4 linked regions of the Stegostoma tigrinum genome follow. Each later gene encodes a partner of the first gene's protein in a complex. Links are inferred from orthologs where the notes say so. Each region holds a gene or a part of one and is shown in the gene's direction. Other genes may lie near its edges. The genes, in order: histone acetyltransferase KAT5, enhancer of polycomb homolog 1-like, mbtd1 and morf4l1.

Region 1 (7,466 bases):
CTTGGCCTCCAGGCTAGCTGTCAATCGAGGGGACCCTGATGAGCAGAAGGGCGTGAGGCTTACTGGGTTTTTTTCCCTCTCTTTTTCATTTACTTACTTTCACTTTTTTATTTACTTAATAAACGCACCTTTCTTTTCTTCTCACTCAGTAAATGTTTACATTTAAGAGAATTGCCATTGTCGAGCCTTCTCTTCAATACCTTTAACCGAATCAGACAAAAAACTGCACCTGAATGCACTCTGTGATCTAAGACATTATTCAACATCTCCCCTCATTCCCCTTGACCCCCCATCCTGTGGGAGTGACTCCCATATTCTACCCACTATCTGGGGGCCACATGATGGTTCTCCCGAATTCTCCGCTGAGTTTATTCGGGACTGACTGACATTGATGGGCCCTGGTTCTCTGCTCTCTCCTCTGCTGCCCCAGCGACCCCACCCCCCCCCACCCCAACTCCCACCCCTCCAACCCCCAAACAATAGGAAAACCTCTTTTCACAATCAGACTGTATCAAAACCTCCTTCTTCATTTTGAAGACTCGGTCAGAGACCTCACCTGCCTCCGCATTCTCTTTTCCAGAGAGCTGGGCTATTACATAAGGCTTTAGGAAGGGCTTTGACAAGGTCCCTCATGGCAGGCTAGTCATGGAGATTAGGTCGCATGGGATCCAGCGAGAGCTACCAAACTGGATTCAAATTTGGTTCGATGGTAGGAAGCAAAGGGCAACGGTTGAAGGTTGTTTCTCGAATTTGGGGCCTGTGACTAGTGGTGTGCCACAGGGGTTGGTGCTGGGACCACTGTTATTTACGTATATCATCTGGATGTGAATGTACAAGGCATGGTTAGTGAGCTTGTGGATGATACAAAATTAGGCGGTATCGCCGATAGTGAGGAAGGTTACCAAAAATTAGACAGGGATCTTGATCAGGTGGAGAAGTGGGCCGAGGATTGGCACATGCAGTTCAATACAGGTAAGTGTGAGGTGTTGCATTTTGGAAAGTCAAACCAAGTTAGGACTTGTACAGTAAACAATAAGGTTATGAGGAGCATTGTAGAACAGAGGGATCCAGGAGTACGAGTACATAGTTGATTGAAAGCGGCGTCACAGATAGACAGGGTGATGAAGAAGGCATTTTGCATGCCGGCTTTGGTCTGTCAAGGCACTGAGTATCGGAGTTTGGATGTTATGTTACAGTTGTGTAAGTTGTTGGTGAGGCCACACTTGCTCTATTATTGTGTATAGGTTTGGTCACCCTGTTATAGGAAAGATATCGTTAAACTGGAAGGTGTGCAAAGAAGATTTGTGAGGATGTTGCCAGGACTAGTAGGCCTGAGTTATAGGGAGAGGTTGGCCAGGATAGGACTTCAATCCTTGGAACATAAGAGAATGAGGGGTAACCTTATTAGGGAGTGTAAAATCACAAGGGGCATAGATAAGATGAATGCATATAGCCTTTTTCCCAGGGATGGGGAATTGATAACTAGAAGGCACAGGTTTAAGAAGGATCTGAGGGGCAACTTCTTCACACAGAGGGTGGTGTGTAAATGGAATGGGCTGCCAGGGAAAGTGGGTGAGGCAGGAACAACAGCAACATTTTAAAACCCTTTGGATAGGTACATGGATGGGAAGGGGACATGGACCAAATGCAGGCAATTGGAACTAGCTCAGCAGGCACCACGGTCAGTATGGACCAGTTTGGGCCTGTTTCCATGCTGTATTACTCTATGACTCTATGACATAAGAAATTGGTGCAAGAGCGAGCCATCTGGCCCATTGAGCCCGCTCCACCATTCAATAAGATCATGGCTGATCTCCCACTTACCCACTGTCTCACCATAACTCTCCTGTTAATTCTGTTATCCTGTTATTCCCTATCCTGTTCAAAAATCACTACCTTAAAAACATTCAACAGGATAGCCTCAACTGCATTGCTGGGTGGGGAGTTCCACAGATTCACAAACCTTTGGGTGAAGAGGATAATAATAGTCAGACATTACTGAAGAAAGGAAAAGCACTGTAGGATCAGCTCATCCAGGTTGGTGATTTCAGAGTGGGGATACAGAACTGTTTTTATTCTCAATCCGTTCAATACTTGTGTGAGTGAAGGGGAATTTTAAAAGGGCTGATAATAGTCAGCATGGTGATAATGGTAAGGGTGATAATTCAGGAAGTTGTTCAGAATGAAACTAATGTTAATAACAAAGGTGATAATTAAGATTATTAACAAAGATAATGTTAATAACAATGGTATTAATTGAGGAGGTTATGAACATCATAGTAGTGTTAATAATGATGAGGGTGATCATTTCTTTCTATTTTTCATGGGATGAGGATGTCACTGGCTGGGCCAGCATTTATTACCCAGAGGCCGGTTATGAATCAACAACATCGCTGTGGGTCTGGAGTCACATGTAGGCCAGGCCAGGTAAGGGTGGCAGTTTCCTTCCCTAAAGGGCATGAGTGAACCAGATGGGGTTTTCCCAACAATCAACAATGGATTCATGGTCATCATTAGACTCTTAATTCCAGATTTTTATCGAATCCTAATTCCAATATTTGCCGTGGCAGGATACAAACCTGGTCCCCAAATAGTTACATACATCTCTGGGTTAAACAGTCCAGCATTAGTCAGCTCCCCTCAAATAGAGGGGATTCTTAATAATGATACTAATAATGTTATTAATAATGACAAGGGTGTTAATTGAAGTTATTAGTGATAATAATGGTGAGGGTGTTAATTGAGGTTATTAGTGATCATAATGGTGAGGGTATTAATTGAGGTTATTAGTGATCATAATGGTGAGGATGTTAATTGAGATTATCAATGATAATAATGGTGAGGGTGATAATTGAGCTTATCAGTGATAATAATTGTGAGGGTGTTAATTGAGGTTATTAGTGATAATAACACTGAGGGTGTTAATTGAGGTTATTAGTGATAATAATTGTGAGGGCATTAATTGAGGTTATTAGTGATAATAATAGTAAGGGTGTTAATTGAGGTTATTAGTGATAATAATTGTGAGGGTGTTAATTGAGATTATCAATGATAATAACAGTGAGGGTGTTAATTGAGGTTATCAGTGATAATAATTGTGAGGGTGTTAATTAAGCTTATCAATGATAATAACAGTGAGGGTGTTAATTGAGATTATCAATGGTGAGGGTGTTAATTGAGGTTATTAGTGATAATAAGTGAGGGTGTTAATTGAGGTTATTAATGATAATAATAGAGGGTGGTAATTGGTGGTTATTGATGATAATGGTGTGGGTGATAATTGGGAAGAATTTAATAATAATAACCGTCAGGTTGACAATTGTGATGGTTATTAATTTCTAATAACGGTCAGGGTGATAATTGAGGTGGTCGTTAATGATAATAACAGTGAGAGTCATAATTGATGTGGTTATTAATGATAATAACAGTGAGAGTGTGAATAGAAAAGGTTATTAATGATAATAATGGTGAGTATGATAATTGAGAAGGTTATTATTGATAATAACAGTAAGAGTGATAATTGAGGTGATTTTTAAAATTATACTAATGTTGAGATTGATAATTCAGGTAGTTATTAATGATAATAACGGTGAGGGTGATAATTCAGAAGCCTGCTAATGAGAATAATGATAATAATGTCAATAATAATGGTGATAATTTACGAATTTATTAATAAAGTTGAGAATAATGGTGAGGATAAGTGAGGCAGTTATTAAAGATAATAGGGAGGGTGATAATTGAGGTAGTTATTAATTATTATAATGTTGATGGTAGAAGTCAAGAATGTTATTAATGATAGTAATATTAATGATAGTAATGGTGAGGGTCATTGAGGTGGTCTTAATAATGGTGATAATTGAGCAGTTTTTATAAAGAAAGTTAATAATAATAGTGAGGATGATAATTGAGGAAGTTATTAAGAATGACAATAAGGTTAATAATTTCGAAGTTGACAATTGAGTTTTTGGTGTTTTGGTGCTGGAAACAGGCACTAAGATAGCCACCTATACACCCTATCTGGTGAAATGGGTGCTAAATGTTGGTGAGTTTAAATGATCAGATTAACCCCCCTACCCCTCTGGCGGGTGAGAGCATCTTCTCCTGGGGGCTGGGATCTCTGGGCACACTCTTTATTGAATTATTTCGCCGTGTTTTTGCGGGGGGATGGCAGGCGGTGCGGCGGCCTCCTCGGCGACGTGAAGGACCCCGAGGGGACAAGATGGCGGCTGCGGCGGAGCGGAGTCGGTGAAAAAACACTTTTATCGAAAGAAATAAACAAACTCCACCGCCGTCCCGTGGCTAAGAGACATCGGGGAGCGGGAAAGACCGAGCGTGATCAACGTCCGCACCGGCATTTTCCACCCGAGTCTCACCCTCTGTCTCAGTCACACTCACCGCCCGGACTAACAATGGAGGTGATCGAAGGATGCCGCCTTCCCGTCCTCCGGAGGAACCAGGAGAATGAGGACGAGTGGCGTGAGTAGCCGACATGGCGGACGGGCGGGCGCGGTGTACCATCCCTCGGACGGGGCTGTTTGCATTTCGTCCTCCATGCCGTGTGGGGGCGCTCCCACTGGAGGACCCTGTGTGCAGTACCTCCTCCAGGCCACGTGGGGCGCGCTCCCACTGAAGGACCCTGTGTGCAGTACCTCCTCCAGGCCACGTGGGGCGCTTCCACTGGAGGACCCTGTGTGCAGTACCTCCTCCAGGCCACGTGGGGCGCGCTCCCACTGATGGACGCTGTGTGCAGTACCTCCTCCAGGTCACGTGGGTAGCGCTCCCACTGAAGGACCCTGTGTGCAATACCTCCTCCAGGCCACGTGGGTAGCGCTCCCACTGAAGGACCCTGTGTGCAATACCTCCTCCAGGCCACGTGGGGCGCGCTCCCACTGGAGGACCTTGTGTGCAGTACCTCCTCCAGGTCACGTGGGTAGCGCTCCCACTGGAGAACCCTGTGTGCAGTACCTCTTCCAGGCCATGAGGGGCGTGCACTCCGGTGGAAGTCTGTGAGTGGAGTACCTCCTCCAGGTTATGGGGGTGCTCCCAATGGAAATCCCTGAGAGCTGTATCTCCTCAGCATCATGGGGCAGATGGGGTGTATGCTCCCTCTGGAAATCCCTAAGTGTGTACTACCTGCTCCACACGATAGGGACAGGGGTGGTGGTTGCACTCTCATTGGAAATCTCTGAGTGCAGTACCTCCTCCACACCATAGGGAGCACTCCCACTGCAACTCCAAAGGAGTAATATCACCACCTGGCCATGGCGGGTGGTTCCCACTGGAAATCCCTGAATGCAGTACCTCCTTAAAGTTTTGGAGGGTGCCCCCGCTGCAGATCTCGAGAAGCAATCTCTCCGTTTAGCCACGGTGGTGGTTCCCATTGGAACTCCCCACATGCACTGCCTCATCCTGGCCACAGGGCAAGGGATGCAGTGCCACTGAATCGCCCTGAGTCTAGTACCTGCATCAGGCCGTGGAGGAGGGGTGTGATACCACTGGATCCTGTGGCATTAGTACCTCCTACAGGCCAAAGGGGTGGTCCCATTGGACCTCTGAGTGCAGTCCCTCTTCTGGCTGTATTGGGTGGGGTTAGGGGTGAGGGGAAGTCGGTTGCTCCCCTTGTGGAGTGCAGTCCCACAGCAATTCATATAAGGAGCAATACCTCCTCGTGGCCATGGGGGGGTTGCTCCCATTGTAACTCTCTGAGTGTGGTACCTCCTCCAGGATGTGGTATGGGGCGGGGGGGGTGGAAATTGCCATTTGGATCTTGCAAAGTGCAGCTCCTTCTGCAGGACTCAGAGCACAGGCTGTTATTGGAAACTCTGAGTGTGATATCTGCTCCAGGACACGGTGGAGTTTGGTGGGCACCCATTGGATCTTGTGAAGTGCAGTGCCTTCTCCAGGCCATGAGTGACGCTCCCAGTGGATCTTCTTTCTGGTCATAAGGAGTGGTCCCACTGAATCTCCCTGGGCACAGTAAATCCTCCTGGTCTTGAGGAGTGCCCTCAATGGAACAGATATAGTGCAGTAACCCGTCCCATCCACAAGGGCACACCCAGTGGAACTACGGTGGTAAGGTACCTCCTCCTCTCCAGAGAGTGTGATCCCGCTGGATCCACCAGAGTACAGTATCTCCTCCTGGCAGGACACACAGTCCCACATCTCCCAGAGTGTGATACCTCTTGCCACTTGCGGGGGCTCTCCAACTGGTTCTGCTGGATAGTTCCTCATCCCAACACTAGATGCACTAAGATAATAAAATGTGAGGCTGGATGAACACAGCAGGCCAAGCAGCATCTCAGGAGCACAAAAGCTGACGTTTCGGGCCTAGACCCTTCATCAGAGAGGGGGATGGGGGGAGGGAACTGGAATAAATAGGGAGAGAGGGGGAGGCGGACCGAAGATGGAGAATAAAGAAGATAGGTGGAGAGGGTGTAGGTGGGGAGGTAGGGAGGCGACAGGTCAGTCCAGGGAAGACCACCTCCTTGACCTGTCCGTCTTCCCTGGACTGACCTATCCTCTCCCTACCTCCCCACCTACACCCTCTCCACCTATCTTCTTTACTCTCCATCTTCGGTCCGCCTCCCCCTCTCTCCCTATTTATTCCAGTTCCCTCCCCCCATCCCCCTCTCTGATGAAGGGTCTAGGCCCGAAACGTCAGTTTTTGTGCTCCTGAGATGCTGCTTGGCCTGCTGTGTTCATCCAGCCTCACATTTTATTATCTTGGAATCTCCAGCATCTGCAGTTCCCATTATCTCTGATACTAGATGCACTAATCCCAGTTTCCTGCCCTCGTCCCAGATCCTTGAATGTATCTATATTTATAGTGCACATCCAAATGTTTTTAAAGGTTGTAATGTTTCCGGTCTCTAATACCTCCCAGGAAGTGCATTCGAGATTCCCAGCACCCCCTGAGTGAAAAGGTTTTCCTCAAATCCCCTCAGAATCTCCTGCCTCTTACCGTAAAACTATGACATCTCGAGATAGACCCTGCAACGAAAGGTAGCAGCTGCTCTCTACTCGCCCTGTTCATACATAGTTGTGTACATCTCATTCTTGTCACCCCCTCAGTCTTCTCTGCTCTAGAGAAAACAATCCAAACCTACCCAGTCTCTCCTCACCGCTCAGTTTCTCCACCCCAGGCTATATGCTGGTGAACCTCCTCTACCCCCTCTAGTGCTATCACGTCCTTCCTGTAGTGAGGTGACCAGGACTGCACACAGTACTCCAGCTGTGGCCTAACCAACACCCTGTACAACTTCAACATTACCTCCCTGCTCTTGTACTCTATGCCACGACTGATGAAAGCAAGTGTTCCATCGGCCTTCTTACCTGTCCTGTTCACATGCTCTGCCGACTTCAGGGATCTGTGAATAATTACCCGAAGATCCCTCTGTTCCTCTAAGTTACCCTGTGTTCTGCCATTCATTAGTTACTCCCTCATCTTGGTTCTCCTTCCAAAGTGC
Region 2 (8,306 bases), on another chromosome or scaffold:
CTTTTTTTTTCAATGTGTCCATAGCCTGGTATTTGTGAACCATGAATGTTAGTTACTTGGCACCAGTCAGCCTGAACTGATGAGTATCTGACGCAGAACTGAACACTGCAATCATCAATGATCCTACCCACTTATTAACCTCATGGTAGGAAAGCCGTTGATGCAGCTGAAGATGGTCGTGTCTACAGATCTCTCTCCCACTGAAACTCTCTCATAATCTCTTCTGCCCTGAGGAGATCTTGATTGTATGGAGAGACTGCAAGTTGATGGAAATAAATTCTGAAATCTTCTGTAGGTATACAAATATTAATAGTGAAAGGGTGGTTGGTAGAACCAGGATGGGACCAATCAGAGCCCAAAAAGGGGATTTATGCCTGGAAATTTAATGTCAGTCTTTACCAAAAGAAGAAATACTGTCCAGGTCGTGGTGAAAGGAGATAATTCAAATACTTAGTTTGAAATCGATGAACAGGAGGCAGTGGAGTCAGTCTTTTTATTTACAGTTGGTTAGGCTTCAGGACTGAATAAGAGAGATCCAAGGACACCAGAGATGGTGAGAATAGAAATTGGAGGCATTGACTATAATTTTACGATCTTTCTTTGACTCAGGTGATTATCAGAGAACTGGAGAATTGCAACATTTCTTTTAAATGTAAAGATGAGTTTAGCAACGATATGCGAGTCCTATAACAACGCTGATGGCAAAGCTTCTGAAACAATAATTCAAGACAAAAGTCTCTTGGGAAATCTGGATTAATTAAAAAATTCCAGCATAGTTTGTTAAAGGATAGCTTTGCTTAACTAATACTTACGTTTGTCTTTTGAAGAGTTAATTGAGCTGGTCAATGAGGATAATGCTGTTGATGTGGCACAAGTGGGTGTGCAGTCATTTAACACAGTGCCACACAACAAATTTTTATGAACAAAGTTTCAGCACTTGGAATAAAAGGGACAAAAATACATGGTTCTGAAAATGGCTGAGTGATGGGAGATAGTGTTCAGTGGATGTTTTTCTGACTGCAGGAAGATTTATGGCAGAATTCTCAAGGTGTGTGTATCAGACCATAAAGATATAGGAGGACAATTCAGCCATATGGTCCATTTGGGTTGCCTTTGCCATTTTATCGTAGCTGATATGTTTCTCAATTCCATTCTCCTCCCTCTCCCCTCAATCTACTTACTAATCAAAAATCTCTCTATCTCTGTCTTAAATGCACACAGTGACTTGGCCCCTGCCACTGAAAGCTGTTATGAATTCCACAGATTTATCATCCTTTGGCTGAGAAACTCCTCCTCATTACATTCTAAAGGGTTGTCTTGTCTATGATGCTATGCCCTTGGGCCCTAGTAGAGGGGGATGGGTCTGGTTGGGATGCTGAACAGGGGATTGGTGTGTGGCGATTTTGTGATTCTAGAAACACCCTCTCTACGACCATTCTATCTAGGTCTCTTAATATTCTTTTCAGTTTCATTGACATCTCCTCTCCCCCCCCCCCACCTCCGCCACAGCCTACTAAACCCCCAGAGTACAGACCTAGAGTCCTCAACTGTTCCTCTTGAGATTAGCCCTCCATTCCCCAGGATCATGCTTGTGAACCTCCTTTGGACCCTCTCCAAGGCCAGCAAATCCTTCCTTAAGACACAGAGCCCATAACTGCCCTCAATATTCCAAATGTGGTTGAGCCTTAGCAGTTTATTCCTGTTTGCTTTGTTTTCAAGCCCTCTTGAAATAAATAAATGCTAACTTTGCATTTGGCTTCCTAACTGCCACCTGAACTTGCGTGTTAAAATTAAGAGAAATAGTTTATGCCTCTTCTTCTTACCAAAGTACAAGACCTCACACTTTCTCACATTATATTTCATCTACCACTTCTTTGTCCACTGCTAGCTTATCCAAGTCCTTCTGCAGCCTTCCTGCTTCCTCAATGTGGCCTAACCCTACACCTATCTTTATTGCTAAGCTTGCAGATGACATAATGCCCTCCATTCCTTCATTCTGATCATTAATGTTGTTTGGAAGTATTATGAACATTGAAGAGAATAAAATTGAACTTCAAAAGTACAAAAATAGGTTGTTGCAATGGCCAGAAAGTTGGCAGATGAAATTTAATGCAGTGAAGTCAAGTCTAATTCATTTTGGCAGGAAGAGCATAGAGACAGAACAAAATAAAGGATACAGTTCCAAATTACCTATAGGACCTAAGAGATATGCACAAGTCATTGAAGGTGGCACGACCGTTTTGAGAACTCTTAATAAACAACAGTATCCTAGGCTTTATTTACAGGACCATGGAGCACAAAAGTAAAACTATGTTAAACTTCTATAACACATTGGTTTGGCCTCAACTGGAGTATTGTGACCAATTCTTTAAGAATGATGTGAAGATGTTGGTATAGCTACAAAAAACATTTGCAAAATGGTTCCAAGCATGAGGAACTAAAGTTTATTGCAGACAGTTGTATGGCTTTTCTTGAATGTTAAGAGGTAGATGGATAGAGATTTTCAAATACGGAGACTGGACACAACTGATGAAGGGAACACTTGCCATTGTGTAACAAAAGAGAGGGCACAGCTTTCTGGTAACTAGAAATGTACATTGGTGATGAAAGGATTTTGTTTCTGTATTGAGTGATTTAATATCTGGAAAATGCTGACTGAGATTGTGGTGGAGACAGAGATTGAGACAAACTTCAATTAAGGCTTTAAAGAGTGATTTGGATTATATTCCAAAAAGAAAATGTGAGATTACAGGGAAATGGCTGAGTTTCTCATTAAGAAATCAGACACTGGCACAACAGGCTGAATGCTCTCTTTCTGCACAGTAACAGTTGTGATTCTGTAGTGATGTGCTGGGACTGAGATGGTTGATTTCCAGAACTACAATCATCTTCCTTTCTGCAAATGTAACTCCAATTATTGGATAGTTTTGTCCCTGATTCCTGTTGACTGACTGCAGTTTTTTGTTAAGGCCCTGGTGTCATGTTGGTCAAGTCCTGCCTGCATATAAAGGCCAGTCACACTCATCTCTCATCTGAAATTCAGCTCTTGTTCTGTGTTTGACAAAGACTAACTAAATCTGGAATTCAATTCCTGGCAGGGCCCAAATTCTTATTGGCGAGTAGATTATTGGAACATAAGTGCTGCTAGATAGTGCTATTGATGATCCCTTCCATCAATTTGTCGCTGACTGTAAACTGCTGGTGCATTAAACAATGTAATCCGTCAAGTGATTCAATCATTTGAATGTCAGTAAAACGCTGTTTTCTATATTTATATATAAAGCACATTGGCAGCATAAGCTCATTGCAAAAATAGTACAACCTATTGAGAGTTACTAGATAACAAACTGCAAAATAAGATTAGCTTGTAAATGAAAAATTGGAACAAATGGAAATTAAATATTCAGTATACTTGTGTATCAATTCAATCTGATAAAACTCTATTGACGTTCATTACTGATTTCCAGAACAGACGTGGGAAATTTCATTAGTTGTATGTAGGTTAAATTAAAACTGAAGATTCAGCTGTCTGCATGTCTGATGTACCACACTTTGAAGTTTATAATTTTTCACCAGCAAATCACAATTTATTGATGTCTTTTAATGACTTTAAATATAAAAGTTTGATTTGGTGTTGTAACAAAAATGTAGTTAAATTCTGTACTTCACAACATGAGTTAATGTTTGGTTTTTTTGTTTTGGAAACGTTGAATTGGTGTGGAATCATTACAACCAAACTAGGTGCAGGCCCTTCAGCCCCTTGAACCTGCTTTACCATTCAATCTACAATCTATCCACTAACCTTTCACCCCTTTTGCTTAACAAGAATCTACCTACCTCTGCCTTTAAATGTCATAAACAATAGTAAATCACCGAGTGGCATTTAGATTTTTGTTGAAACGTCAATTTGCCTAATTGTGCATGGTGACATACTGTTTCAGAATAATAATTAAGTTTAAAAATGGTCAAACTTCGTGCTCGGATGAATTCAAAAACCGAAATCCCGTTTTATGGGCATTGAATTGTTTGATTTGATTCACGGTGTCATATACATTGCCAGATTTGCCTTGAACATCTTTTTGATTCGACAAGTAGCCTTACTGTCTCTGTGCAGTACAAACAATCAAGACTAGCAGGAAGCTTTGCAATTGTTTACGCCGAATTGCGCAATACCCTGTGACAGATTACAACCTGCCCATTGAGTTTTGAACTGTAGTTATTATTATGAGACATGTGACATTCCCCTTTTCCCAGCAGACCATTTAAAAAAAACCAAACGCTGGCACTTCGTGTTGTAGAGGGCGCCGTTTCCAACAGCTTCTTGTAAAGTTGTTGTGACTGAGGGTATCCATGTTGTGGCGTAGTTGAATTAGGAAGCGAACAGAAACGATGGAAAAAAAACTTGGAAGGGAAACGAAAAGACAATAGTCAATCGTTGTGATAACGACTTGTGCATTTCTTTCAAAAAGAGGAGCCAAGAAACGCAGGCTCGGACTGAAAGCGAAGTTTTGTTTTCCGTGGAGCCGAAAACACAAATATTAACCGGGTGGGAGCGGGGGAGGAGAATTCGAAAACATTTTCAAAAGGGTGGGAGGAGAATGGGAGATGAGGTTTTATACAGCATATCCTGCAAAAGGGAGGGGGTGGGCTGCTTGACTCGCTGCTAGGCGGGGGGGGAGAAAAACAACCCGGTAGAAATCCAAGGCAGCCGTTAGTGCCGGGTGCCCAGCGGAGCAGCAACATTCTCCTCCCGCACTAACCGACCGCCGGCCGGTTGAAGTGGGGGGGGGGGGTTGTGGGCCGTTGCGCGCGCAGCTCGGCCGAGCCTCGTCCCTGTTGCTGTGCATTGTGGGATGGCTGGACTTTAATGACCGCCATGTTGGCCATGGCGTATTGAAGTCGACAAAAGGAACCTAAACGGACCGGGGGAAAAACCGCCTTTCTTCCGTTTCCAACCCCCGTTTTTTCTTCACGGAATGGAACTAGGATCTCCAATCTTTCATCCATGATAGGTTTCGGGAGGCTCCGTGTAGGTTTTACTGGGTGTAGGCGTCAACATTTCATCGGCGACTAAAAAAAACGCATTTTATATATATATATATTTATATTTTCCTTCCAACTACAACCTCCCTCCCTCCCTCTCTCCTTCCCCTCCCCTCTTTCTCTCTCTCTCTCTCCCGCGGTGGTGTTTGGGTTTCTAATCCGCCGCGAACACGCACATACAAACCGAGGGAGAGCCGAGAATAATGAGCAAACTGTCGTTTCGGGCAAGGGCGCTCGATGCATCGAAACCTCTGCCCGTGTATCGGTGCGAGGATTTGCCGGATCTGCACGAATATGCCTCCATCAACCGAGCGGTGCCCCAGATGCCCACGGGGATGGAGAAGGAGGAGGAATCGGTAGGTGCACACGGGGCGGGTTTGGTTGTTTTTTTAAAAAACATGCCCGTCTTTTTTTGACGAAAGGAGTTTTAAAAATCATTTTATTCGGACGTGTTTTGTGGCCTCGGGGGAGGGGGGGTGTTAGTGGTGGGCTGGTAGTTGGTGGCGGGAGGTGTTGCCTGTGTGCGCAGGTTGCGCGGCCGCCATTACACGGCTCTCGCTCGCTTCCTCCCAAACATGGGGCCGGGCCGCGGAAACGGAGAGACGGGCCCCGGAACCACCCACACTTTATTCCTCCGCTCGGGAGGGAGGCCGCCCTCCTTGTTTCTTTTTGTTATTTTGAAACAATCGAAGGTCCTATCCCGTTGATTTTTCACCCCGCTGAGCGGGTGGGCGAGAAGGATATTGTTCCTTGTCTACGAAAGATATTATTTTTACCCCCTCGGTGTACAAAAGATCACGTGACTGGCGAGGCAGCCATTTTGTTGTGTTTCTCTCTGGGTTGGGCACGATCTCGGCAACAACCAACTCCAGTAGGAGGGTGGCGCTAGAGAGCCTGAATTTTTTTTGCCTGGGGTGTTGGGAGTTGTGGATTATTGTATTGTAGACAAATTTGTATTTCACTCAGTTCTAGCTCCCGTATATATGGGCGTTGTTTTTATTTGCTCTCTTGTTTTATATGTTCCGTGTGTAAGTTGACTTGCAAAATGGTGCTTCACAACATCTCGCTGAACAGAGATCATTGTGAAAGTATCACTGTTTTTAATCTCAGCACGTGCGCCAGTTGTGACCTGTTGTGCAGTTCCCGAGTATGGACAGCGGGAAGACTCCTCCTTTATAATGCAGATTACTACTACAGCTAAGTTTGTGCAGAGACCGTGAGACTTATAGTTGTTTTTCCGACTGTTTTATTCCACATCCGTCGTATCCACAGTTAGTTTCATGGGTGACATGCAAAATTAGTTTATTGTGAAGCAATAATGTGAAGTGTAACTTATAAGAATTCTAGCGGTTGAATGTCATCGTGTTTTTGAGGCTTTTGGAAAATCTCCCACATCGTGATCTGTAAAGCAAGATGTTACACAGATAGTTGCAGTTGTGAGGCTGTCAAGGTGAAAAATAGTCATAGTTTCAGATTCAGTACCATAGTTATGGTTTGTATTATGAAGTATACTGAACTTGTCAGGCAAGGAGCTGGATTAAAGTCAGGATGGCTTATTATGTGAATAGGATTCTGTTAAAGTCAGAAATATGATATTGCTGGAACTTGGCATTAATCTAATCTAAATAGAGGAGCAGTGAATTCTTTAATTACTGTCACCTAACCTTGCTGATTTGATAGCAATGTACCATTAGCCAAATCTGTTATTACCAAATAAATGTTCTTGCATGAAATTCTGAAGTTGCTGTTAACATCAGTGCATAGTTAATTGGGGGCTCAAAATATTTTCAACACCTGGGAAATACAATATTGCACTTCCCACAGTTTGAATGAGCTTACTGACACAATTAAACAAAATGCATTCAAGCTATTACTTAAGATGACAGTCTACTGGATGTACATCAGTAACTAAAATATGGGGTTGCAGACAGAATACCTCAAAGGAATTCATTTCAACTCATTGGCAAACTACAGTACTGGTCTTCATTTGTGGATATCTGGTTCTACTTCCTTGTGTTTGTAGTCTGTAACAGAAAAAAAGGTTTTTTTTTCCCCTGATGAAGTGTCTAGGCCCGAAACGTCAGCTTTTGTGCTCCTGGGATACTGCTTGGCCTGCTGTGTTCATCCAGCTCCACACTTTGTTATCTCAGATTCTGCAGCGTCTGCAGTTCCTATTATCTATGTATCTTAAGGTTAGGATTTTAGTTTTCCAAAAAGATTCTTATGCCTATTTGTGCTTGGCTTTGTGAATCAGATGCTCAAAATAAGTAAACGGAATTAATTTACATTGCACTGGTGTTTTCTGTTCCAGCAGTTGAAAACCTTTGCTATGCACTACTTTTCAAATGTGGGGAAACTCGAGCAACAATGTCATACAAGGTGCAACAATAACACTGCTGTTCCAGTGATTTTTGATTTGGGCAATAAATATTTGTAAGCAAGGGCAAATGCTTCTTTTATTTTAGATCTTTTGATATGCACTTGTTGTACCACTCTTTGACGAAGTTGATACGCTTGAGTGAAATTCCACATGAGAATTTTTATTGTGATTTATTACCTGTCAGTGCGATATTAAACACCAACCCTGTTTTAGGTGGATGTGCCACATTTTTCACATGAAACCTAAAATCAGACTTCCACGTGAATTCTGGGCTGAATGTAAAGAATTCTTTGACGTAAGTGTTGCAGGATGGGGTGGGAAGATCTCTCTCCCTGCATTGTGGCAAATGTTTAACCCTCAACTAATATCCCCAAATAGCTTAATTGGCTTTCTGGAGTCCAGAATCCTTGAGGCACATGTAAGGTTATTATACTGAAGAGGGCAGATAGTTCTGCACCAGTGTCAGCAGAGCTTCTCCACTCTCATTTTTGCAGTGACAGTTTGTGGTACCAGTTATAGAGTCAGAGATGTGGGATGGGATGAATAGCCAAGGTTTTTTTTTGCCAGGGTAGAGAAACTCAAAACTAGAGGGCATAGTTATAAAGGTATAAAAGAGACCTAAGGCTCATCTTTTTCATCCAGAGGGTGCTCTGTGTGTGTGTGTGTCCATTGGAGCTGGGGCTATCACTTTGAAATATGGTTCTCATGTTTGTCTAATTAGGTATAAATAATGTGATCAGAGCTTTTGTGCTCCTGAGATGCTGCTTGGCCTGCTGTGTTCATCCAGCTTCACATGTCGTTATCTATAAATAATGTGGTTCCTTATTTTTAATGTTCTGTAGTGAGTAGACTTTGCTTCAATTTTCAATGTTAGTGGCCTGAA
Region 3 (7,972 bases), on another chromosome or scaffold:
TAAGTGAAGTCAGCAGAGATAGTAAGAACTGCCGACGCTGGAGGAAAGCTTACGTTTTGGGTCAAGACCTTTCTTCAGAGAAGGGTCCTGACTCGTAACGTCAGCTTTTCTGCTCCTCTGATGCTGCCTGGCTGCTGTGTTCCTCCAGCTCCGCACTGTCTTACCACTGGAATCAGCACGTTGTTTTATGAGGAAAGGTTGGACAGGCTAAGCTTTGATCCATTGAAGCTGAGAAGAGACAAGTTGTTTGAAATATACAAGACCCTGCGAGGGGTCCTGACAGAATGGATGTGGCAAGTTTATTTACTCTCATACTAGAGCTTCGTACTAGGCGTTACTGTTTAAAAATAAGCAGTAAACTATTGAGCAAAGGGATGAAAAGAAAGAGAGGTTGAAGAGTTTTTGGAATTCTTTTCCTCAAAGGGTGGCAATAAAAAGTCTTTGAATGCCTTTAAGGCAGATGTCAATAGATTATTGCCAAGCATGAGGCGGAAAAGTCATCCTACAGTTTGATGCCACGTGGAGTCATCAGATCAGCCAAGATCTTCATCAATTGCTGAAAATGCTCAAGGGACTGAGTAGGCAATTCTTATTTATATGATCATATTTATACAAGGCAGAGCATAGAACAACATCCAAAGGCAGTTCAAAAACCGAACAAAGGCAAAATATTATCATCCTTGGATAAGCATATGGATGATGATGATGGGACAGTGTAGGGGGAGGGGCTTAGATTAGTTCACAGGTCGACGCAACATCTATGTTCTCTGTTCTATTAAGTACAGTAACCAAAAGCTAGTGTGAAAACAGTCAGAATTTAAGATGGGCAGACAGCATAGTAATGGATGATTTGGGGAGGGAATTCCAGGACGTGTTGCACATTCAACTCAAAACACAGATAACACAGTGTGGAGCTGGAGGAAAACAGCATGCCAGGCAGCATCAGAGGAGCAGGCAAGTTGACGTTTTGGATCAGGACCCTTTTTCTATTATCCCTGACTCCAGCATCCGTAGTTCTTACTATCTCCAACTGAAAGCACAGCCAAGATACCTGAACAACCTAAACTAGTTGTTGAAACAAGGGAGACCCGGGAAAAAGAGAAGACACCACTTGGTATGCTAATTATTTCCAGTATTTTCTGTTTTCATATCTGAGAGAAATTGTGTTGTTAAAGGCCATGGGTCAGTTCTGATAGCCTTTCGCTTATGTAATTCAAAATCTCCAGACTCCTCAATTACAGAACCTCCTCGCAGCTACCCAGTCTTCTTCTTAGACAAACCCCTAGAATTAAGAATTAAACATAAATTCAAGAAAATTTTGGACTCAACAAGATCACCTCTCATTCTTCTTAACTATGGTGAGCACAGGTCCCATTCTACTCCATTTCTCCACATTTCATCCGAGGGTGCAATCGAGCAAACAGTTGTGCAGCCTTCTATAGCAAGGAATTCAAAATTCAATACATCTGTACATCAGAATTACAGTTTGAGATGATATATAGGATGCACTGTATGTGTTCAGTAACTGTAAATTTGGTCACTGCTGTAGTGCAAATATTATTTTTGGACTTATAAAAAACTCATTTGCAGGACATGTTGGATAAGCCAAGATTTATTACCAACTCCTAACTGCCCTCAAGAAAGTGGTAGTGAGTTGTCTTTGTGAAATACTTATTTGGAACACCCACTGTGTTGTTACAGGGTGAATTCCCAGATTTTAACCCTGTTACAGTGAAGAAACAACAATGTATTTTGAAGTCTGGATGATGTGTGGCATGGAGGGGATCTTGCAAATGATGGTGTTCCCGCATACCTGCTGCCACCGTCATTCTGGTTTGGAGATTTGAAGGTGTTATCCAAGGAGCCTTGGCAAGTTACTGCAGTGCATCTGGAAGATGGTACACACTGCTGCAGTTTCTCTGCAGTGGTGAATACAGAGTGAATGTAGAAGGTGTGAGAATTGACATGCCAATCAAAAAACTGCTTTGTCCTGAATGGTGTTAACCTTCCTGAGTGTTTTTCGGAGTTTCACCCATCCTACCAAGTGGACAGTATTTCATTACACGCCTGACTCAATAGCACTGTCGATAACACCTTCCATTATTCTGTTGATACAAAATAAACTGATGGATTGATAAATGGCCTGGTTGATTTGTCTTGCTTTTTGTGGACACGATATGGTTGTACAATTTTCCACATTGACATGTATTTGTCACTGTTCTAAATGTGCCGAACAAGCTTGCCTAATGACGTGGTTAGTTCTGGAGCTCATCTTCAGTACTTTTTGAGAATGTTAACACAGTCCACAGCCTTTCCAGAATCCAGCATCATCAGCTATTTCTTGATATCGTAAAGTCTATCAAATTGGTTGAAGACCAGCATCAGCAATGTTGGGGACATCAGGAGAAGGTAGAGGTGGATCTTCTGACTGAACAGGGTGCAAATGCTTCAGTCTTTTCATTTGTGCTGACGTGCTGGACTCCTCCATTATTAAAGATGAAGTCATTCAGAGCTTCTCCTTTTTTTGGTATTCATTGACGGGAAGAGGGCATTGCTGGCTAGGCCTGCATTTATTGCCCATCACTAATTGAGGTTGAGAGTCAACCACATTGCTGTAGAGCTGGAGTCACATGTAGGGAGCTTCCTTCCCTAAAGTACATTACTAAATCAAAAGGGTTTTCTCGATAATTCACAATGATTTCATGGTTATTACCGCGCTATTAATTCCAATTTTTTAAATTGAATTCAAATTCCACAATCTGCCACGGCAGGATTTGAACCTAGGTCCCCAGGATGTTAGCTGGGTCTCTGGATTAACAGTTCAGCAATAACACCATTAGGCCATTGTCTCACCTTATAGTGAGTTGTTTTGTTATTCATCATTGGATGTGGTCAGACTGCAAAGCTTAGATCAGATTTGTTCATTATGGGATAACTCACTGTTTGGCATGTAAATAATCCTGTGTTTACGTTACTGGGTGAGTGACAGAGAATGGTAACATGAGAGATGAGCGGATGGAACTAAAGAAGATGGTCAAAACCAACGCAATTGCCAGTTCAGTAGCAAGGCAGGCCAACATGCGATTTGGTGTCATAATGAAACCCAAGTCTTCATCCACTGTGACAAAGTGTGGAACTGGATGAACACACACGCCAAGCAGCATCTTAGGAGCACAAAAGCTGACGTTTCGGGCCTAGACCCTTCATCACACCCTCTTCTGACACTCTTTCTCTCTGATGAAAGGTCTAGGCTCAAAACGTCAGCTTTTGTGCTCCTGAGATGCTGCTTGGCCTGCTGTGTTCATCCAGCTTCACACCTTGTTATCTTGGATTCTCCAGCATCTGCAGTTCCCATTATCTCTTCATCCACTATACCTGGCTCACTCAGTATGGTAAGCTAACCACACATCACTGGAAGATTTGAATATTATCAATCTGATGTTTTAAACTACAAATACTTGGCAGATACTCCATGAAAATCCAACAAACACAAATGGCTGTGAATCTACACCAATTGTCAACATGGTTTAAATTACATAATTCTATTCACAGAGGAAAATGCTACACTCTCAAATTCTGCAAAGTTTTCTCAATGGCAACTCCAAGATGATTTATTCCTCACAGAATGCAGTACATAGAAGAACATGTGCACCTTGCTCGTTTTGTTTCCACATATAGAGACGTACAGCACAGAAACAGATCCTTCGCTCCAACCAGTCCAGGCGAACATAACCCCAAACTAAACAAGGCCCACCTGCCTGCTCCTGGCCCATATCCCTCCACACCTTTCCTACTCACGTACTTATCCAAATGTCTTTTAAATGTTGTGATTGTACCCACATCCGCCACTTCCTCAGGAGGTTCATTCCACACAGGAGCCACCCTTTGTCTAAAAACATCTACCTCATTTTTTTCAATCTCTCTCCTCTCAACTTAAAAATGTGCCCCCGGGCCAGGGTGAAGGCGCCGCCGCTTTTCATTCTCCATCGGGATGGCTCCCGCTGAGATCTCTCAACCGAACCTCCGCTTCCCCCAGTCCTCATTGGACCAATGCTTCAGACTAAAGCCCACCTCCTCCTTGAAAATGCCCATCCTAGGGGAAAAACAACTACCATTAACTCTATCTATACCTCTCATTACTTCAGTCAGATTGCCAGTCAACCTTCTACATTCCAGTGAAGGATGTCCCAGCCTATCCTGCCTTTCTTTACAACCCAACTTCCACACCCAGCAACACCTGGCAAATCTCTTCTGACCGTCTCCGCTTGATAATATCCTTCCTATAACTGGGCGACCAGAACTGGACACACTGCTCCAGAAGAGGCCTGACCAATGTCCTGTACAACCTCAACATGATTTCCCAACTCTTATACTCAAAGAAGCGAGCAATGACTTTTTCAGAAAACATAACCCTTTTAGGAAAAAGTCCCAATATCTTTTTTCTCTGGAACAAAACAACATGCAGGCCATTAGGTTCCTAACATCTTAACTCAGATTTTTACAAAAAGCAGAGTTCGCATGTTAAGATCTTAACCGGTTTCTGGTAAACAGTGTTATAAAGGTTACTTTAAATTTTCTTGGTTATTCTGGTCCATTAAGGAAGAATTCACTAAGATTTTTGTCTTCAACCCACATCAATGTTGCGCTTATTCATGCAGATGACGTACAGGGGAACACTGTGCCAACACACGCCAGAAGATACTGCAAGGGAAATATATTACCGAAGCGTCGACACAACAGTCATCAATAAATACCCACACTTTATTTAAAAAATATATAACACACACAAGTTGGGCTTGTTTTGAAAACTAGGGCCCGTTGGGTTGTCATCGTATGCAATCAAACCTGCTAGCGTGCTGAGTGACAGGGCCACCGACCAATCAGGGTGCAGGCGGTAGAGGAGGTGGGCATTAGTCTGAAGCATTGGTCCAATGAGGACTGGGGGAAGCGGAGGTTCGGGTGAGAGATCTCAGCGGGAGCCATCCCGATGGAGAATGAAAAGCGGTGGCGCCCTCACCCTGGCCCGGGACACTCACTCACCTCCTCGGCGTGCTTCCGCAGGGCTTTCTCCCGCTCATACTGGGTGATGAGCTGCTCGTTATCCTCCCGCAATAGCTCCAGCTCCACCTCGTGCTCCTGGTTCTCGGCGAACATCGCGTCCAGGTTCTCCAGCACACCGACCACCAGCGGCATCAGGTCCTTCACCACATCTTCGTCGTACTTGCGGATCATCCTCTCGAACTCCCGGTAAATACTAGCCGCCAGGCCTGACACCCGCTCCGACATAACATTAGTGTTGGAGTCATCCTGGTAAACCACCCCATCATCCATTTCCATTTTCTTTAAATTATCAATATGCTGGGGAAAACATATAGACAAATCAATGATTTACGCCGGAGGAAGTTAAGGGAATAACCACCTATATTTCTCTTCAGCTCCTGCTGCTTTCTTCTCTCCGCCGCTCAGCCGTCTCCCGCTCCCTCCCTGTTGACGACGCCGCTCGGCTCGAGGCCACTGGCTCCAACCCCGCCCCCTCAGCGCGCTGCCCAGCCCCCACTGTGCGCGTTCCCGTTCGAGGGGCGCGGTCCCGCCCCGTCCAGGCTGCGCGCCCCCGCACGCCGGGCCGCCCCGATCAGGCACGGAACGTCGCGAGCTTCCACAAGTCATGTGATCCCGTCACATGCTCTTGCCGGGCTATAGATAGTGGGAGCTGCGGATGCTGCTGGGTGAGCTCAGCAGGCGCAGCGGCATCAGGGGAGTAGGAAGGCTGATGTTTTGGGTCTAGACCCTGAGGCCCGAAATGTCAGCTTTCCTGCTCCTCTGACACTGCTTGGCCTGCTGTGTTCACCCAGCTCTACGCTTTGTTATCTCTGCTCTCGGGCGAAAACGGGTAACTCTGTCTTCCTCCATGCAGCACTTTGTCCCATTACAGGGATTTTGTGATGATAGTTGACATCTATGAATGGTTAGGTCTTTTATTTTTTTTAAATACTTTGGACGCAAGGTTTCAGGGTCACAGACAAGATATCTCCTTGAATAAAATTGTTACGAACGTCAGAATTGCTAGTGAAAAAACATGCTTTTGTCTAGTTTATCTTCTACCAATCATGTAATACAGTACAATGGAGCTATTAACAAGTCAAAAATGATGCTTTCATAAACATGAGCTCCTCCAAAATCACACAAAAACAAGAACTGCAGATACTTTAAATCAGGAACTCCATTTCCTGCCTACTAACCTCATCCCACCTCCTTGACCTGTCCGTGTTCCCTGGTCAGACCTATCCCCTCCCCACCTATACTCTCCTCTCCACCTATCTTCTTTTCTCTTCATCTTCGGTCCACCTCCCCCCTCTCCCTATTTATTCCAGTTCCCTCCCCCCATCCCCCTCTCTGATGAAGGGTCTAGGCCCGCAACGTCAGCTTTTGTGCTCCTTAGATGCTGCTTGGCCTGCTGTGTTTATTCAGTTTCACACTTTATTATCTTGGATTCTCCAGCATCTGCAGTTCCCATTATCTCTGATACAAAAACAGAAGTTGCTGGAAGCTCAGCAGGTCTGTCTTGTAGAAGTGTCACTGGAGTGAAACGTTAACTTTGATTTTTTTTTCTTTGCAGGAGCTGCTAGACCTGCTGAGCTTCCAGCAACTTCTGTTTTTGTTCCTCAAAAACTGCTGTCCATATTTCTTTTGCTTATAGCTTAGATGGCAGCGTTCTTTTCTCTGAATGACAGTTATGGCTTGAAAGCTTCTTCGAGGACTTGAATACAAAAGCCAAAACAGATATTCCAATTTTGCGCCATCGGAAATGCCATGCTTTGAAGGACATAAAAATGAGGCCTCTGGTTAACGGAAGAGATCCTATGGAACTATGTCAAGTAAAAGCGAGTGGTGTTTTAGCATAAAATACTGGAAGTGGTTATAATGAAAGTTCATCACCCATATGCTGGTAGGCTCACTGAGTATTTCAAGTATTTTCTGTTTTTTATTTCACATTTCCTGTGTGTACAGATATGTGGGTTGAACATATGTTTTAATGTTAAATCAATGTAAATTACATTACATAATTCTAAACACTGCAAATGGACATGGAAACTTGGAGATTCATATGTATATATCTTTGACTTGAAAGGACGTATTGAGAGAGTAGATTTTAAAACATCATGCCTTCAAAGATTGTGATATTGAGTTTAAAATCACTGATATTATGGTGAATATTTATTTTTGCCTGGTTAGGCAATAAGTTCTGGCCATCATGCTTCAGGAAGGACTTGACAATCCTTGAAAGGGCGCACAGGAGATTTACCAGAATGGTTCAGTCAGAGAGAGAGAGTTTAGCTGCAAAATGAGTTTGGAGAAACAGAACTTGTTCTCCTTGGAGCAAAGGAGAGATTTGACAGAGGTACCCATGGTACGTAAAGAAAAAGAAGTTCGGGATTATATCAAATTAAAAGGAGAAAAATGTATAACATGGCAAAGATTGGTGGTAATCTAGAGGATTGGGAATGTTTTAGAAAATCAACAAAAGTCAACCGAAGATAATAGAGAAAAAACATAAACTTGGAGGGTTAACTTGCAAGTAATATCAAAACTTCTTTAAGTAAATAAAAATAAAGAGAGAAGCAGAAGGGAACACAGGCCCATTAAAGACTAAAGCTGGTGAAATAACAACGGGGAACCGGGAAAAGACAAAGTTGAGAAGTACTTTGCATCAGCACTCACAATACAAGACAATAACAACATTACAAAAGTACAAAGTTATCAAATGGCTAAGGTAATTAATGGGGCTAAAGAATAATAAGTTCCTTGACACGATAGGATACGTTGTGGAAATTAAAGGATGCATGTATAGAGATAGTAGATGCACTTGTAACCATCTTCCAGGAATCCTTCGATTCTGGGCAAGTCCCAGAGAATTAGAAAACTTTTAATGTAGCACCTTTTATTAAAAATGGGAAGAAGACCAAAAAAAGCT
Region 4 (7,170 bases), on another chromosome or scaffold:
TAAAAGACACACTTTGTTAATCATAGGATCCCTACAGTGTGGAAACAGGCCCTTAAGCCCAACAAGTCAACACTGACCCTGACAGCATCCCACCCTCCTAATCTACATACCCCTGAACATCACAGACAATTTAGCATGGCCAATCCACCTAGGCTGCACATATTTGGACAGTGGGAGGCAACCAGAGTACCTGGAGGAAACCCATGCAGACACAGGAAGAATGCGCAAACCCCACACAGACAGTCACCCATGGCAGGAAATGAACCCAGGTCCTGTTAGGCAGCAGTGCTAACCACTGAGCCACCATTTACAAATGTTAAGGATAACATAGGTTGGAGCTGGAGCAGGAAAGCTAACATTTCAGGTTGGGACCCTTCTTCAGAAATGGGGAGGGGGAAGGGAGGTCTGTTTTTTTTGCCTTGCAGTGACAAGATTGTCAGTTGGCCTTACAGTGTGGCAGATCTCTGCATTAAGAAGGTTACATCTATTAATACACCTTTTCTTTGCAGACAGGAAAACACAAAGGGCACTTGTTTCAATGCAACAAAACAGATGACTGTTACTCTCAGATGCAATCTTCAAGGCACTATCTTGACTAATCAGATTCAACATACCAGTTTTAAATTCATACAAAGCTCAACACTGATTGTCAGTCATCATTGAACTTGTGCATTCTCGATGGTAACACTTCAATCAATTGGCATCCACTTGCTAGCCAATCAGCATGCTTTATCTGACATAGTATAGAATTGTTGTTCACCTGCATGTTGACAGTCTTATAAATATGCTGATGAGTGAATGATGAAAAGCTTCAATGCAATGTGTTTTTTTTAACCAATACTTAAAATATTCTGGTTGGAAGCTACACTCAGAGTTGTTCTCAGCTCAGATTTCACACATGATTGAGCATCTGTTTCTAGCCTGACACTGCATTATAAACTTGAAGAAGTGCTGCATTTTTAAAGATGCTGTCTTTCTTGTAAGATATTAAAGAAGGGTAATTCAAGCGGACGTAACACCTCCAGTCACACAATTTTGAATCAGCTTCATTGGCTAGAAGTATTTTTCCCGTCTGTTAATTCAATATGTTCATGTGTTATGTTCATTTTTCAAGATTGAGCCAGGACTGCCTGCAGATTATTTCCCTGCCTATGGCATTAAAGCAAACTCCAACACTTCCTTCACGGGATGTGCACAAAGCTACACTTTCCCAGCAGGAGGTCACTATTATCAGCCAGGAAATGTAACTCCTGGCTGATGTTCATTTCATCTATTATCTTAAGATCAGATATGGAAAAGCACCTTAGAGCATAATAGAGTAAGAGAGATTTCATGGAAATGTTCAAAGTCATGAAGAATTTGACAGGAGTGAATAAAGTAGTACATTTGGATGATTGTTTGCAATTCAAATATGAACAGAATGGGTTCAATTCCTGCACAGCTGAGATTAACATGAAAATCCTGCCTTCTCAACCTCGCTCCTTGCCTGTGGTGTGGTGACCCTCAGATTAAACCACCACCATTCAACTCTAATAAGACAATAACCCTACAGTCCTCTACAATTGTAGCCATTTTTCCTTTGCTTTTACTTTTCCTTTGGGAGAAGTATCAGGAACCAGAGAACAGCAGCAGTAAGGTGATTGACTAGATGACAATAAGCAACATTTTGTGTTACACAGTTGCAATTTGAAATGCATTGAAATGAAAGGCTTGTGGGATAAGATTTTTATTTATTCTTTCATGGGATGTGTGAATCACTGGGTGGCTGGCATTTATTGTCCATTACTAATTGCTCGCGAGATGATGGTAGTGTGCTGCCTTCTTGACATGCTTAAGTCCATGTCATAGATCCAAAAGAGAATCGGAGAAATAGATCAAAGTATTTACAGGGCTATGTTTAAAGATGAAACAAGTGATATTATTTGGGAATAGTTTCTCCAGGGAGCTAATGTACACACAATGGGCTAAATGGCCTCCAGGTTTGCAGCATCTGCAGTCATGATGCTGTAATCTGACTTAATCACTGAAAACCTGAATTTTGAAACCTCTAAACTTGACTATTCCAATGCACATTTTGCAGGTCTTCAACACTGTAATTTGTAAACTTAAGGACATGTAACACACTGCTTCAGATCCTCACCTGCAGTTCATCCCATTCCCTGTAATTTACATTGTCCCCTCATCAAGAAATGTCTTGGTTTTAAAACTTTCATCCCTGTTTATAAAACCTTCCCATTGCCCTTCCAACACTTCAAAATACTTGAATTCCTCTGAAACTGCCATCTTACACATTTCCAATTATAATTACCACTGCTTAAGTGCATTCAATTGCTTAGGCCCCAAGAATTGTAAACCTCTCCTGTCACCTCTCTGTCTTGCTTGTCTCCTTTGAGGCACTCATGTTTACCCTCTTAACTGCACTGACCTACTATCTCCTTATGCAACTTGGTGTCACTTTGTGTTTTGCATAGTCTCTGCAAAGCATCTGGGATGTTTCATTACATGAAAAAGCTTTATAAAGTCATGAGGGACATAGATAGGGTGATAGCCAGGGTCTTTTTTCCAGGGTAAGAAGTCAAAACTAGCGGGTAAGGGCTTAAGGTGAGACAGGAAAGATTTAAAAGGGACCTAAGGGATAACTTTTACATGCAGAGGGTGGAAGCTGGTACAATTGCAACTTTTAAAAGGCATCCAGATGGGTACATGAATAGGAAGGGTTTAGAGGGATATGGGCCAAATGGTACTGGATTTTAGGATATCCAGATTTTGGTTTCGTGCTGTACTACTCTCTGACAGTGTTCATGTTCTGAACTCCACTGAACTCAGCATTGAGTCCTGAAATCTGTAAAACGTCTCAACAGAAAATAAGATGTTGCTCCTGCAACTTGCTTCTCTGGGACACTGCAGCAGGCCTAGGATAGAAATGTGCACAAGAGAGCAAGAACGTAAATTGAAATGGCAAGCAACTTGCAGATCAAGGGTCATTCCTACACATAGTGTAAGGTACACCACAAAACAATCACCCAGTTTGCGTTTAGTTTTTCTGATGTGAAGGAAACTGTATTGTGAATAGAGGAGATTGAAAAATGTATCGCTAAATCTTTGCATCTCCAGGATGATGAGTTTGGGATCTGGGGGACTGAGATGATGAAAAGGTAAATGTTACACCTTCTGGTATTGCATAGCCATGTGTGTGGTGTATAGTGAAGAGGCTTCTCTTGTTCACTTGGTCCATCTGAGTCTCCTCTTCCTTGGCATTTTCATTTCTATTTCAGGGGTAGATTGACCACCAATATCCATCACACCCACAGTTACTTGACTAACCTCCTCATGCCCTGCTTCTTCTAAAGAGTCTATTCCATTCTTAGATTCTGCAACTCTGTCACTCTGTTCCAACTTCTGGGGGTGCAGGCTCTGAAGTGCCTTCCTTTTTCCTCAACAGAGGAATTCCACACCCCACAATTTAGTTGACAAGGCCGCAAGCTGTGTTGAACCCAATGTCCCACACTTCTACTCTCACCCAGAACAGTGACAGAGTACAGAAACATACAGAGCAGTAATTGCTGGAGAAACTTGATTGCTGTTTTTCTGTTTTGTTTTGTCCTGGTGAACTTGCTGTCAGAAATGCAGAAGCACCCTTCAACTCAACTCCCTCGACTCAAAACTTTGACTCTTTTTCTCTTTTCACAGATGCTGTCAAACCTGCTGAGTTAACCCAGTATAATAAAACAAAGAGCTGTGAGGTCTGAAGGTCGGAAATACAAACAAGAACACCAATTCACGTCTTAAACTTCCTCTAGCACGCTCCCTGTATGCCAATTTCAAACTACAACTCCCAGAGCCCCACCGGACAGCCGCGCGTGCGCAATGAGAGCACCTTGGCCGGGGCGTGACGTGTTTCGACGACGGGTCACGTCGCCCCGATGACGACCCGCCCCCCTCCAACCCGGTACGTCGTGTTGCTCGGCGCCCGTGCGAGAGCAGACCGGGCCGCGATTATGGTGCGGGGACAGAGGGGCAGCACAGGCGCTCGGATTTAGCACGGAGAGACGGTTTGACTTGATGGCTCCGAAACCGGACCCTAGACCCAAATTTCAGGAAGGTGAGCCCCCCGCGGGGATACGGCGATTGGGAGGAGGCGGAGGGGAAAAATGGCGCCGGGGCCCGGCTCCTTCCCTTCCCCCACCCACTCCTCAGTGCGCATGCTTGGAGGGCAGCCTCCCTTGGTACGAGGGGCTTTGCAGGCGCCTCAATGGAGATTTTGCAGCTGGTTAGACTGCTAGATGTAAGCACATTGTACTCGTTCCTTACCCTTTGTACACTTATTTGTGCAGAGTATAATCGCGCAGAATGTTTCCTCCGCCAATTTGCATGTATGTGTGTTGTTTCCCCGTAATCCTCTTCCTCTCCTTATTCCCACCTACACCACCGCACCCCCCCAACGTTTTCAGCGAAAGTCAGATTTGTGCCATTTTTGTCTTTGGTTTCAATGGAGCAAGTTTACATTTGTGCTGACAACTTTGCAACGACTTGCTCTATGTGCAGAATGCAACGAACCATTTATTGCAATGCACTTTCCAAGGGGTTGTCAAAGGAATTGCTTCATTGGCCGTGCCCTTTTCCACATCCGTGAGGAGGAGGTATGTAAGTTAGTCTGGCTAAACGTGCTTAACGTTGCTTTATTTGCTGAAACCGTCTATTTCTTCTTGTGGCAAAAGAGACTTTGCACCTTTCTATCTTTGCTTCGACCATGGTTTCTCCCTGGAAGGAAATCTGGAATTCGAGGACTTCTACGTATTTAGTGAAACTGTCCTACCTTACTCGTGACCTGATTAAAATATAAGCAAGAAGACATAAAATTATACTCTTGTGTTGTATGACTGCCAGATGGGAAGTGGTTGTAAGGCAATATACAAGTCTGGATTGTGTTTCTACTTTACACCACTTGTGTCTGCATTGGCAAATACAGACATAAGATTGAAAAAAAGGTAAACTTTGGAATTACGTAGCAAGCTCATTAGCAGCTGCAAAGATAGCTTCATATTTTGGGTGTAGACTCTTTGTCAGAACTGTTCTGACACGGAGTCTCCATCTGAAACAGCCTGTATTTCTTTTTTTTCAGGTGCTGGTGAATTTGCTGTCTAGGTAAAACAGAATATGCTGGAATCATTCAGCATCTGTGGAGAGAGGTAGGTAGGGCTGATGCATCAGGTTCATCTTTTTTAATCACATCTTAACATTATTTGGTTTTAGCTGTTTACAACTAAATGTGTAGTAGTTTGGATTGTACGCGAGTCAAGTACATAAAGGCAGAGGGAAAACTGAAGTATAATAGAACTACCACTCCAGAAGGGTAACATTGTGATTGGTTTATGAGAAGTTGTTAGAACTGCATGCATAGGAATTTTTATTGAGGGAAGGAGTTGCCGTGAAGAAAAATGGGACAAGAAAATGAGAGGTTGAAATGGGCCAGTTATATTGATGTAGATTCCTCACTGGCTTAACAGCCATTGCTTTGCTTTTGAAGTGTGGTTACTATTGTCATTGGCTACCATGTTTTCCTAAATGAGTGCGGGACCAGAAGTTGGCAGAGCATGTTGACAAAGTGGTTTTAAACATAATTGGGATGCTGGACATTGTAAAAATGAATATGTAGTGTATAAAAACAAGTTATGATTATTTTTTATGCAATACTGATTTAGTTTCAGTTTGTCTGTTATTTGGCTCAGTGTCAAACTCTGCAAAGGATGGGATGGCATTAATGAGGGTGTAGAAATAATTCATGTGGATGGTTCCAAGGATGAAAGATTTCACCTGTATTGATAGTGTGGAAGATAGGACTATTCTTGTAGAATAAAAAATTAGGTGGAGATTTGATAGAGGTGCTCAAAATCGAGTTGTTTTTTCTTTATTCATTCATGGGATGAGGGTGTCACTGGCTAGGCAGCATTTATTGCCCAAAGGGTGGTTGAGACTCAGCCACATTGCTGTGGGTCTGGAGTCACATGTAGACCAGATCCGGTAAGGATGGCAGTTTCCTTCCCTAAAGGACATTAGTAAAAATTTTCCAACAATCGACAATGGATTCATGGTCCCCATTAGACTCTTAATTTCAGATTTTTAAAAAATTGAATTCAAATTCCACCATCTGTCATGGCGGGATTGGAGCATGTACCCAGAACATTATCTGGGTCTCGCAGTTAACTGTCCAGTGATAATACCATTAGGCCATTACCTCCCCATTTCAGGAGAGAGAAACTGTTCACATTGGCAGAAAAAAATCAGAGGGCACCAATATAAGGTGAGTAGCAAAAAGAATCTAAGATGACATAAATATATCTCTTTCATGTGTGCTAAGGAATTGGAATGAACTACCTGAGAGAGTGTAAAGATTGGATTCAGTTTTAATTCTCAAAGGGAGTTGTAATGGACAAGAAGACAAGAAAGACAAAAACTACTTCAATGAACAGAACTTGTCGGTCTCAGTGGTGCAGAAGGATTTGGGGGTTTGAATGGTAGATGAATTGCAGAAGGGTGTGCTAGTATAGCAGATGAAGCCATATGTGGAGTACTCTGCCTGATTTTGAGAAAACATATACTTGCTTCAGAAGTGGTTCAGAAAAGGTTCACTTGACTCATTCCTGGGGTGAAAGGCTTATTTTATAAAGAAAGGTTGAACAGATTATGCTTTTATTAATTAGAGTTTAGAAGAATGAGGTGATCTTATTGAAATACATATGAGTGGACTGCATAGATTGGATAGCAAGAGGATATCCCCTCTTGTTGCGGAGACTAAAACTAGGGGACTCGTTTTAACAGTAAGATGTCTGCGTTTTAAGACAGCAATGGGGAGAAAGAGAAAAAAAAACTGACTTTTGTTAGTCTGTGAAATTCTCTTTCTCAGAAGGTGTCAGAGGGCTGATTCTTTAAATTGATTTAATGCTGAGTTAGATTTTTCAATAGACAAGTGAATTAAAGGCTTTTGGGAGCAAGCAGGTAGGTGGACCTGAGACCACAGCCAGATTTTATTGAATGGTGGGAATCTTTTTAGAAGTTTTTTGGGATGTGAACATGACTAGAAAGGTAAGTGATTATTGCCCATCTCTAATTGCCCAGGTGGCATTAACATTGCTTATGGTCTTGAGGCATCTTTTAACATGGTGACGAAAC

The links.
Region 2: histone acetyltransferase KAT5 (region 1) and enhancer of polycomb homolog 1-like share a complex: the UniProt entries of both Homo sapiens proteins name them as parts of the nuA4 histone acetyltransferase complex. The link is inferred for Stegostoma tigrinum from reciprocal best matches to the Homo sapiens genes KAT5 and EPC1.
Region 3: histone acetyltransferase KAT5 (region 1) and mbtd1 share a complex: the UniProt entries of both Homo sapiens proteins name them as parts of the nuA4 histone acetyltransferase complex. The link is inferred for Stegostoma tigrinum from reciprocal best matches to the Homo sapiens genes KAT5 and MBTD1.
Region 4: histone acetyltransferase KAT5 (region 1) and morf4l1 share a complex: the UniProt entries of both Homo sapiens proteins name them as parts of the nuA4 histone acetyltransferase complex. The link is inferred for Stegostoma tigrinum from reciprocal best matches to the Homo sapiens genes KAT5 and MORF4L1.

The regions. Positions count from the first base shown.
Region 1 is NC_081395.1:3,923,210-3,930,675, forward strand, and holds the start of histone acetyltransferase KAT5, read left to right. Parts: upstream 1-4,193; 5' UTR 4,194-4,409; coding exon 4,410-4,476; intron 4,477-7,466. UniProt on the Homo sapiens protein: Catalytic subunit of the NuA4 histone acetyltransferase complex, a multiprotein complex involved in transcriptional activation of select genes principally by acetylation of nucleosomal histones H2A and H4.
Region 2 is NC_081355.1:128,371,865-128,380,170, reverse strand, and holds the start of enhancer of polycomb homolog 1-like, read left to right. Parts: upstream 1-5,172; 5' UTR 5,173-5,246; coding exon 5,247-5,399; intron 5,400-8,306. UniProt on the Homo sapiens protein: Component of the NuA4 histone acetyltransferase (HAT) complex, a multiprotein complex involved in transcriptional activation of select genes principally by acetylation of nucleosomal histones H4 and H2A.
Region 3 is NC_081375.1:6,126,079-6,134,050, reverse strand, and holds the start of mbtd1 (MBT domain-containing protein 1), read left to right. Parts: upstream 1-4,954; 5' UTR 4,955-5,040; coding exon of another isoform or gene 5,041-5,337; exon of another isoform or gene 5,338-5,523; intron 5,524-6,616; 5' UTR 6,617-6,921; coding exon 6,922-6,946; intron 6,947-7,972. Other genes in the region: C-Jun-amino-terminal kinase-interacting protein 4, read right to left, coding at 5,041-5,337. UniProt on the Homo sapiens protein: Chromatin reader component of the NuA4 histone acetyltransferase complex, a multiprotein complex involved in transcriptional activation of select genes principally by acetylation of nucleosomal histones H4 and H2A.
Region 4 is NC_081386.1:32,983,405-32,990,574, reverse strand, and holds the start of morf4l1 (mortality factor 4-like protein 1), read left to right. Parts: upstream 1-3,919; 5' UTR 3,920-4,062; coding exon 4,063-4,102; intron 4,103-7,170. UniProt on the Homo sapiens protein: Component of the NuA4 histone acetyltransferase (HAT) complex which is involved in transcriptional activation of select genes principally by acetylation of nucleosomal histones H4 and H2A.